2 linked regions of the Ovis aries genome follow. The protein of the gene in region 1 purifies or fractionates together with the protein of each later gene. This does not show direct contact. Links are inferred from orthologs where the notes say so. Each region holds a gene or a part of one and is shown on either strand. Other genes may lie near its edges. The genes, in order: OCIAD1 and SLC6A8.

What was found.
Region 2: the proteins of OCIAD1 (region 1) and SLC6A8 purify together in Homo sapiens (co-immunoprecipitation; 3 studies listed by BioGRID and IntAct, with this or other methods). This does not show direct contact. The link is inferred for Ovis aries from reciprocal best matches to the Homo sapiens genes OCIAD1 and SLC6A8.

Annotation. Positions count from the first base shown.
Region 1 is NC_056059.1:68,188,931-68,192,738, reverse strand, and holds the end of OCIAD1 (OCIA domain-containing protein 1), read right to left. Parts: intron 3,436-3,808; coding exon 3,283-3,435; intron 691-3,282; coding exon 653-690; 3' UTR 161-652; downstream 1-160. UniProt on the Homo sapiens protein: Maintains stem cell potency. Increases STAT3 phosphorylation and controls ERK phosphorylation. May act as a scaffold, increasing STAT3 recruitment onto endosomes. Involved in integrin-mediated cancer cell adhesion and colony formation in ovarian cancer.
Region 2 is NC_056080.1:80,584,510-80,588,975, reverse strand, and holds the start of SLC6A8 (sodium- and chloride-dependent creatine transporter 1), read left to right. Parts: upstream 1-1,469; 5' UTR 1,470-2,130; coding exon 2,131-2,392; intron 2,393-3,923; coding exon 3,924-4,055; intron 4,056-4,466. UniProt on the Homo sapiens protein: Creatine:sodium symporter which mediates the uptake of creatine. Plays an important role in supplying creatine to the brain via the blood-brain barrier.

The sequences.
Region 1 (3,808 bases):
TATACTTAAGAGGGCAACCCACTCCAGTATTCTTGCCTGGAGAATCCCATGGGCAGGAGCCTGGCAGGCTCCAGTCCATAGGACTGCAGAGTCAGACACGACTGAAGCAATTTAGCACACAGGCAGACTAGAAACAATAAGACCATAAAATCAACGGAGATACACGTTGCTTTATATTTTATTTACCATAAACACTAAGAGAATACAGCAAACACTGGAGAAAGGCATTTTAATAATTTTGATGTAAAGTTTAACACTTAAAATTATGCTTGCTCCCCACCCCCACCCCAATTCAACATGCAGGTATCATTTATTTCCAGATGCAGTGATTGTAGAGCATTACATTCTCTTGAAAGTTTTATAACAGAGTATCCTTGTCCTGTAACTTAAAACAATTTCATAAACTATGTATAATCATGGTATAATAACATCATTCAAAGAGTTTCCCAAATGACTATATTCACACAATATTAATATTGAAGTCTTGAGTTTTTAAAACATCATCTCAATAAGCCAAACCACAAAAACCCAGGTTCTAGTTTTAAATGTGTTTATGAAGACTGCTGCTGAGCTCAAAGCATGCAGATGTTCATGACCACCTAGATGAAGCTGGATACTGAAATTCCTTCAGTAGGTCCAATGATGCAATTTTTCACTCATCCCAAGTATCTCCATATTTGTTTACTTTGACTAGGAAAAAAGCACAAATAATTGATGATTCCAAATAGTAATAAGTGAAAGGAACTGTTTTATGTTTGCTATTATTATGACTTAAATTATGTTTCTCATTTGAATAAATGTACATGAGAGTCAAATTATAATTATAAAAAGGGGCTGGCTAGCCTTTTGTGAACTGGAGGTTTGACATAAATACAGTATCAAGACATTTACATATGTATTTGATCTCTAAAACAACCTGATAAAATAAATATAACCCCCGTTCTAAGGAAAACAGATTAGTAACTTGCCCAAGGTACAAGCCTAATAAAATAGGTAGAACTGAAACGTGAACACAGGTCTATTTAGGTCCAAAGCCTGGGTACCTTTACAACTTTACCATCTAAAGCAAGCATGGTATACATTACAGGATGCACAATAGTTACCAGTAAATGAAAAATAAAACAATAATGAATATTTGAATGCCATTTTCCACAGAAATCTCAGATTAGATTAATCTCTCTTAGGAGATTAATACCAGTACAAGGAGGAAATGCTTTCCAGTATTTTTGTATTTTATGTGATATTATATTTTGAAATATGTTCTTCTATCTTTTCTACTCTTACTTTTTAGCCTGTCTTCTACACAGCCATCATCTGTGAATTATAACTCTTCGGAAGACCCAAGTATTCACAACAATGTCAAGAAGCAGTTATCAAAGTATAAGGGGATTCCCTTCCTCAAGACTTTTTCAGTGAAGTCTTTAAAGTCAAAATTATTTCATTATTATACTAAGACATTGTTCTGCTTTTCCCCCTTGCTCTTCTTCCCTTATGTGTAGAAGGCAGTTTTCACGGAGCTACATGATGTGTGGGAACATCACTGCTGACAGCTAACTGAAAATACGCTTAGATGTTTAAAATTTCTGCCATAATTTCTAACTAGCTAAAGTAACAACGAATATAATCCACATAAACAAAAGCTGAGAATTTTTAAATGACACTTTCTGACCTAGTGAATCTACATTGTACTGTTAATTTTCTGTCTAAGTTCTAGAACAGAAATCACGAACTGTTCATAACTTTTTTCTTTAAATTATATAAAGCACACACACAAAAAGCTTTCTTTTTACAAAGAAAAACAGTTCACATCACTGTATCATGAAACAAAACTTCAAAACTGTTCACAGCCAAAAGCACCAATGTCCAAATCCAGCAAATATCACTCATCTACCATGTTATCTTTTCTTGGTTTTTAGCACTAGAAGGCCCAACCAAAACACAACATTTCTGACATATCAAACAATGGCACTATGCTATGCAGACACACAGCAGAGCAGATTACAAAAATGAGAATACTACCGCCTGCCCTCATGGAGCTTACAGTCTAAATTCTCAAATTAATTAGAAGATCAGAGTACCAGTGAATCTTCACATATTACAGAGGAATAACTACTAAATACATAAGGCTTATGTTTTACGGCAAACATTAACAAGTATTGCTGATTACAAATCTATTTTAAAGCTGCAAAGAACATCAATAATATAACAGAGGTGGATCACTGTTGTAAAATAGGATTAAATGAAACAATTACTACCGATTAGAAATAAAACTAGCTCTAAAGGAATGATCATAATAAAAAATACCAAGTATTTTTAATGTATTTTTGCATTCTCTGTGGTATACTCTCAAGAAGGTACAAAGGACATTTTTGTTCCTTTAATTTTTAAAGTAGTAAATAGAAAACCTTGAAACAATGATATATCCTCTAAAATTCCTCAAGAAAGATATTACAAAATTTTATACTGAAACAGCTACAAAGCCCTATTCAAAATGCCCTCTTGTTACTGACAAATCTTTGGTGTCAGAAAATTTACTGTGGGTTATGCGCAGCTGCTCCAAAAAGTCTTAAATCATGATATTAAAAATCTCTATGTATTAATTAATTATAGAGTGAAGTACTGTTTAGGGGCTTCCCTGGCAGCTGAGTGGTAAAGAATTCACCTGCTAATGTAAGATATGGGTTCAGTCCCTGGGTCAGGAAGATCCACAGGAGGAGGAAATGGCAACCTACTCCAGTATTCTTCCTGGGAGCCTGGTGGGCTACAGGACATGGGGTCGCAACTGAGCAACTATGCACAAAGTACTGTTAAAAGTCAAACTCCCTATTTGGAAATGCCCTAAAAGCTAGTTCATAAGCATGTAACTCTTTCAATTTCATAGACATACAGGACCATCATTTTATTACTCAATCAGGATTCTGTGATTCTGCCAAAAGTGGCATTATCAATCCAATCTGGTTTTATGCAGTAGATACATCATTTTAAAAAATGTTGTCAATTCCCAAGGTGGCTTCTCATACAATCAAATGTTTGTATAATTTCTACATTAAAAATTTAGTCTTACTGTTTTAAGCCATACTATTTGGACTTCATTATTTTCTAACATAAAATGGCTTTTGGAACACTAAAAAAGGAAGAACTGATAACTATTAATAGTTACCATCTTAAAAAATGTTATTTTGGTTAATTGCTTGAGGCATTAAATCACACGTTAGTATAATTAAACTAGTGCTGCAGTTTCTAATTCTAAAGAGTAAAGTGATTCAGACTAGACTATCATACCTTCTTTTTTTGGCATTCTTTCCTGCATAGGCCTGACTGAGGGGTCAGTCTTATGTGTTAAAGTAACTTCATATGACTCTCTGTTCTTATTCCTTAATTCCTCATATGTAATATTTTTTCTTTTAGGACTTTCTTCAATGTTGGGATCAGGTCCTAAAACAACAAACAGTTAATAAATGGTGATAAAAGGATTTGAATAAATCTAAAGCAACTAAAGTTTACAAATGCTTCTTACCTACTAAAAAATTAAAGTGAAGGATCAGATTATTACCAGTATTCCAAAGGTTCTGTATTCTCCCCAAGGTAATTATAAAACCAAAATCTACTTCCTCTTACGCTTTCAAGCTTATATTTCTAAAGTTAAAAAAATATTTTTTTAAACTATCCATGGCCAGAAGAAGGATGGATATAATATATACCAGCACAATTCACTCATTAAAATGCTAGTGTTGCTCTAAACTGGGAGGTTATTCATACAGTTTATATAATTAAAGAGAAATATATTCTACTAGCGACAATTGAACAA
Region 2 (4,466 bases), on another chromosome or scaffold:
ACTCTTTTGCTCTCTCCAATGTGTCTGGGGGTGCCTGCGCTTGATTGGCCCCTGGCTTTCTCAGGCCATCTTTGGGTCCCATACTCCTCAGTTGCCTGTCTCCCAAGCTGCTTCACTTTGAGGCTGGGCCAGAGCTCCAGATCGGGGCTTCTGAGGAGTCAGGGAACCCTCGTCACCTTGGGAAGGGGGGTTCCCTGAGCCCCAGGCCCCGCCCCCAGCCTGACCCCTGAGACCCTGCCCGTCTCCCCCAGCGGCCAGTCAAGGCTCCCGGAGCGAGCTCGGCTGGAGATGCTGCCCCTCCCTCACCTAACAAGCTCAAGCTGGCTCGGACCGGAACTGCTTTTCTTCCTAAAGCCGCCCGGAAGGCTGAGGGTTTAGCTTAACGGGATGAGCCATCTGGGGACTGCAGGGCGGCGCGCTCAGGGGAGCCTGGGACTGGGGGCAGGGGGTTGGGGGTGGGCACAGCGCGCATCTGCAGCCATGATGGTGACCCCTCCCTGCCCCCTCCTGGGGCTGCTCTCAGTCCTGGAAAATTCCAAACAGGCGGCTCAAGGGCTGCTGGGGAAGCAGCTGAACAACCTGGGTCCTGCTGATCCCTGGGGAGAGAAAAGCGTGGAGCGGAGGCCTTTGGGGGAGGGTCTGTGCACCTGCCAAGCACCAGAGGGCACCCTTACCCTATAGTGCCACAGTCTCCTGCAGGTCGGGCACGTGGAGGGGCCGCAGGAATCCCTCCCACCGTCCACTTGGGTGAAAAAGTGCGGCCTTGTCCATCGGCCAGTCAGGCTTCCCTCGGCCTGTTCAGGAGAGTCAGCGAGTGCTGTCACTCCAAGCGCTGTCACTCCGACAACCGGGACACTGACAGACCAAGGCTGTCTCCCTGGGGGGTGTGGAGGACCCAAGGGCAGGAGACAGGGTCTCAGCAAAGCCCCTGAGCACACCTGGAGACAGACCCCCACACCGCCACCGCAGCCTTTCTGAGGGGGCTCGCTGGGCCCAGTGCTTCAGCAGGTAGAAGCAGCCTGCACCCCTGAGGTGGTGCCACGGGGCCTGAAAGCTGGAGGCCTTGGTACCCAACCTCGGCTGGGACTCAGAGATGGGCCAGGCTGCAAGAAGGAGGTTGGGGCGGGGGGCGCCCCAGGATGTCCAATAAGGAAGCCAGGCCAGCGGCTGGCCTCGAAGCGGGAAGGGCAAGTGAGGTGGCTGGACGGTGCTCCGGGCCCGGAGGAACCCGGGATCAGGGGCGGCTGGGCCCCGGGAAGGAGGCGCTGGCGGGCGCCCCAGGTAGCGGGCGGCCTCCAGCGGGAGCGGAGTCTCTGGCTCTGGAGAAGGGCGGGAGGAGGTGGGCGGGGTGACCAGGGCGGGGGGGCGGGCACCCGGAGGGGGAGGGGGGAGGCCCGTCCGCGGGGGGCGGGGCTAGAGTGACGTCACCCTGGAGACGGTTCATAAGCGGCCAGTAGTCCGGCCAAAGAGGAGAGGCGAGATCAGAACGCGGTGGCGAGTCGCTGAGCTCGCTGCGGCCGGGAGAGCGGCTAAAGCCGCTGCCGCCGCCGCCGCCGCCGCCGCCGCCGCCACTGAGAAGGAGGGGCGAACGCCTAGGCCGCCGCAGACGCGGGAGCCGCAGGCGAGTCGGGCAGCCGCGCCGGGCCGGGCCGGGCCGCAGCGGGGGGGAGGGGGGGAGCGCGCGGGAGGTGCGGGCCGCAGACTCCTGCTCCTGCTCCGGCCGGCCGCTTGCAGACAGGGGGCTGCGGATGCCGCCCGCGCCCCGGCTAGGCTGAGCCTCAGGCCGGGCGAGCAACTGCCGCCGCCGCCGCCGCGGGAGCTGCGGGCAGGAGCCTCGGGAGCCGTCGCCGCCGCCCGATCGGGCCCCGCCGCCGCCCGCGAGCCCCCGGGCCCCCGACACACATGAGATTCTTTAGGCTCACTTTCAAGTGCTTCGTGGACTGCTTCTGACCGCGCCGCCCCCGCTGTCCCGCACCCCGCCCGCCTCCCGCCCGCCGCCCCGACCCCCCGGTCCGGCCGTCCTCGGCCCCCGGCGGGCCCGCGCCTTCGGGGCCTTTATCCCCCCCTGCGCCGTTGGCGACCCCGCGCCTGTCTGCCCGCCCGCCCCCGCGGGCCACCGTGCCCCCGGCCATGGCCAACAAGAGCGCGGAGAACGGCATCTACAGCGTGTCCGGCGAGGAGAAGAAGGGCCCCCTAATCGCGCCCGGGCCCGACGGAGCCTCGGCCAAGGGCGACGGCCCCGCGGCCCTGGGGGCGCCCGGCAGCCTCTTGGCCGTTCCGCCGCGCGAGACCTGGACGCGCCAGATGGACTTCATCATGTCGTGCGTGGGCTTCGCCGTGGGCCTGGGCAACGTGTGGCGCTTCCCCTACCTGTGCTACAAGAACGGCGGAGGTGAGCGCCGGGCCCCTCCCTAGCCCCACCGGGGCAGCAGGGCGAAGTCCAGGGGGTGGGGAGGCCCCCGGGCCGGCGAGGGAGGGGAAGGGCCGGGGGGCCGCCCCTTGCCCGCCGTCGCCGCTCGGTGGCCCAGCCAGGCGGCCACCCCCCTGGCCGGTCATGTGCCTGGCAACGTGGTGGGGGAGGGGGCCTGCGAAGGAAGCCTCGAGCTGTGTCCGCCCCCCACCCCAGCACCACCACCCGCAAGTGACTGGCCACTGAGGTGGCCGGGCGAGGCCTCCCGCCTCGGGGGAGGCCTCAGAGGTGAGGAGCCCTGGATGCCCCCTCCGATCAGGCACACAAGTGGCACATTGTGCCGGCCCCCCACGTGTGCACACACGAACACACACACAATGGGCCACTCTGTCCCTCCCCCTGCCTTCCCCTCCCTTCCCTTCTCTCTCTTCCTCTTGCCTCCCCTCCCCTCCCCTCCCCTCCTCTCGAGCCTGGGCCTGGAACACTGGGTGCCGGAGCCAGGCTTGGGAAGCCGGCAGCCCGGGCCGCCTGGCGCCATTGCTGGACACACTGTATGCACACCCCATGCCTGCCCGCCCCAGCCCAGCTTAGCAACAGCGATGGGCACGCGTGTGTCCTGTGACTGCAAAGCAGCCCCAGGGGGGTGGTGGGAAAAGCCACAGGGACGAGGCGGCAGGCGGGAAACTGAGGCTCAGAGCAAAGGCCTTGGCCCAAGGTCATAGCAGGAGGATGCGGAGACCGCAGGCCCAGCCAAGCGGCAGCCAAAGCTTAGCCTTTTGAGTAGTTGCCTGGTGAGCTGGGGCAAGGGTCGGGGGCCTGGAGGGGAGGGGTCCTCCACCCCCATCCTGGGCGCTCCTGTCTTGTTGTACCTGCCAGGCTCCCCCAACTTGGTCACTTCCTGTCCTTACTTAGCAACCCTTTCAGATACCCTGCACTCTGCTCACTGGTAGACAACTCTACCCACCCACCTTCTTCCTGGGTCTTCAGATGTGCGGGCAAGAGGCTCCCTTCCCTTACCCAAGCCCAGTGGGTCCCCAGGCCCGAGTGCCAACCACAGCCAACAGGCATGAGCATGCACACTCATTCATGCCCTCACAGTTCCTTCCTCTGCCGCCCAGCAAACTGCGGCTCAAGGGGTGGCTTGTATCCACAAGTGCGTGTCTCTGCCGTGCCCGTTAGTTAGCTCACCCTCGGTGAGTAGCGGCCAAAGCCCTATAGGGAAAAGGGGCTCTTAGGAAACCAGAAGGAAATGGGGTTCTGCCCGATGCCCCCCCCCCCCCCCCCGCAAGACTATTCACCTTGGGCTCCTGAGTCAGCGGCCACCCCTTATACTGATTCACTCAGTGGGAAGTTATCATGGCCTGGGTGGAGCCTGAAGGTGGGGCTCCACCCACCCCCCAGGGCTTGGGAAGGCCCTGGGCTGTCTTACCGCACTTGTGCAGTTCTGGTCAGGTCCCCTGCCTGGCCAGGGGGCAACCCTGTGCAAGTGCCCACCTCCAGCTTTGTTCCCCAGGTGTATTCCTTATTCCCTACGTCCTGATTGCCCTGATTGGAGGAATCCCCATCTTCTTCTTGGAGATCTCACTGGGCCAGTTCATGAAGGCCGGCAGCATCAACGTCTGGAATATCTGCCCCCTGTTCAAAGGTGAGCAGCTCTGGCAGCCCCTGTGTGAGCCCTGTGGACCTCTGCCTTTCTCCACCCCTGGGACAAAGATGGTGTCCACTACAGTAAACCTCATCCTGTCCGAGCACCAGGCTTGGCATATGGCCCCCAAGCTGCGAGGACTTGAAGACCACCTACCTGGGTGACCCTGGTGGGGGCAGAGAGGATGGACCTCTCCCCGTCCCCGCCGGGCGAGAAAGCCCTGTCCAGCACCCTTGGGGCTGGAAGGAGGGTGGCTGGGTGTGAGACACGATGGCAGGAAAAGCTGAAGGAGCTGACAGTAGGCTGTGGCACAGACTCATGAAGTGACTGGCTGAGGTTGCCCCTGAGAGGGTGACTGTCTCCCACCCTGCCCCAGGTTCCCAGTTGGGAGGGGCGGGAAACAGGTGAAGG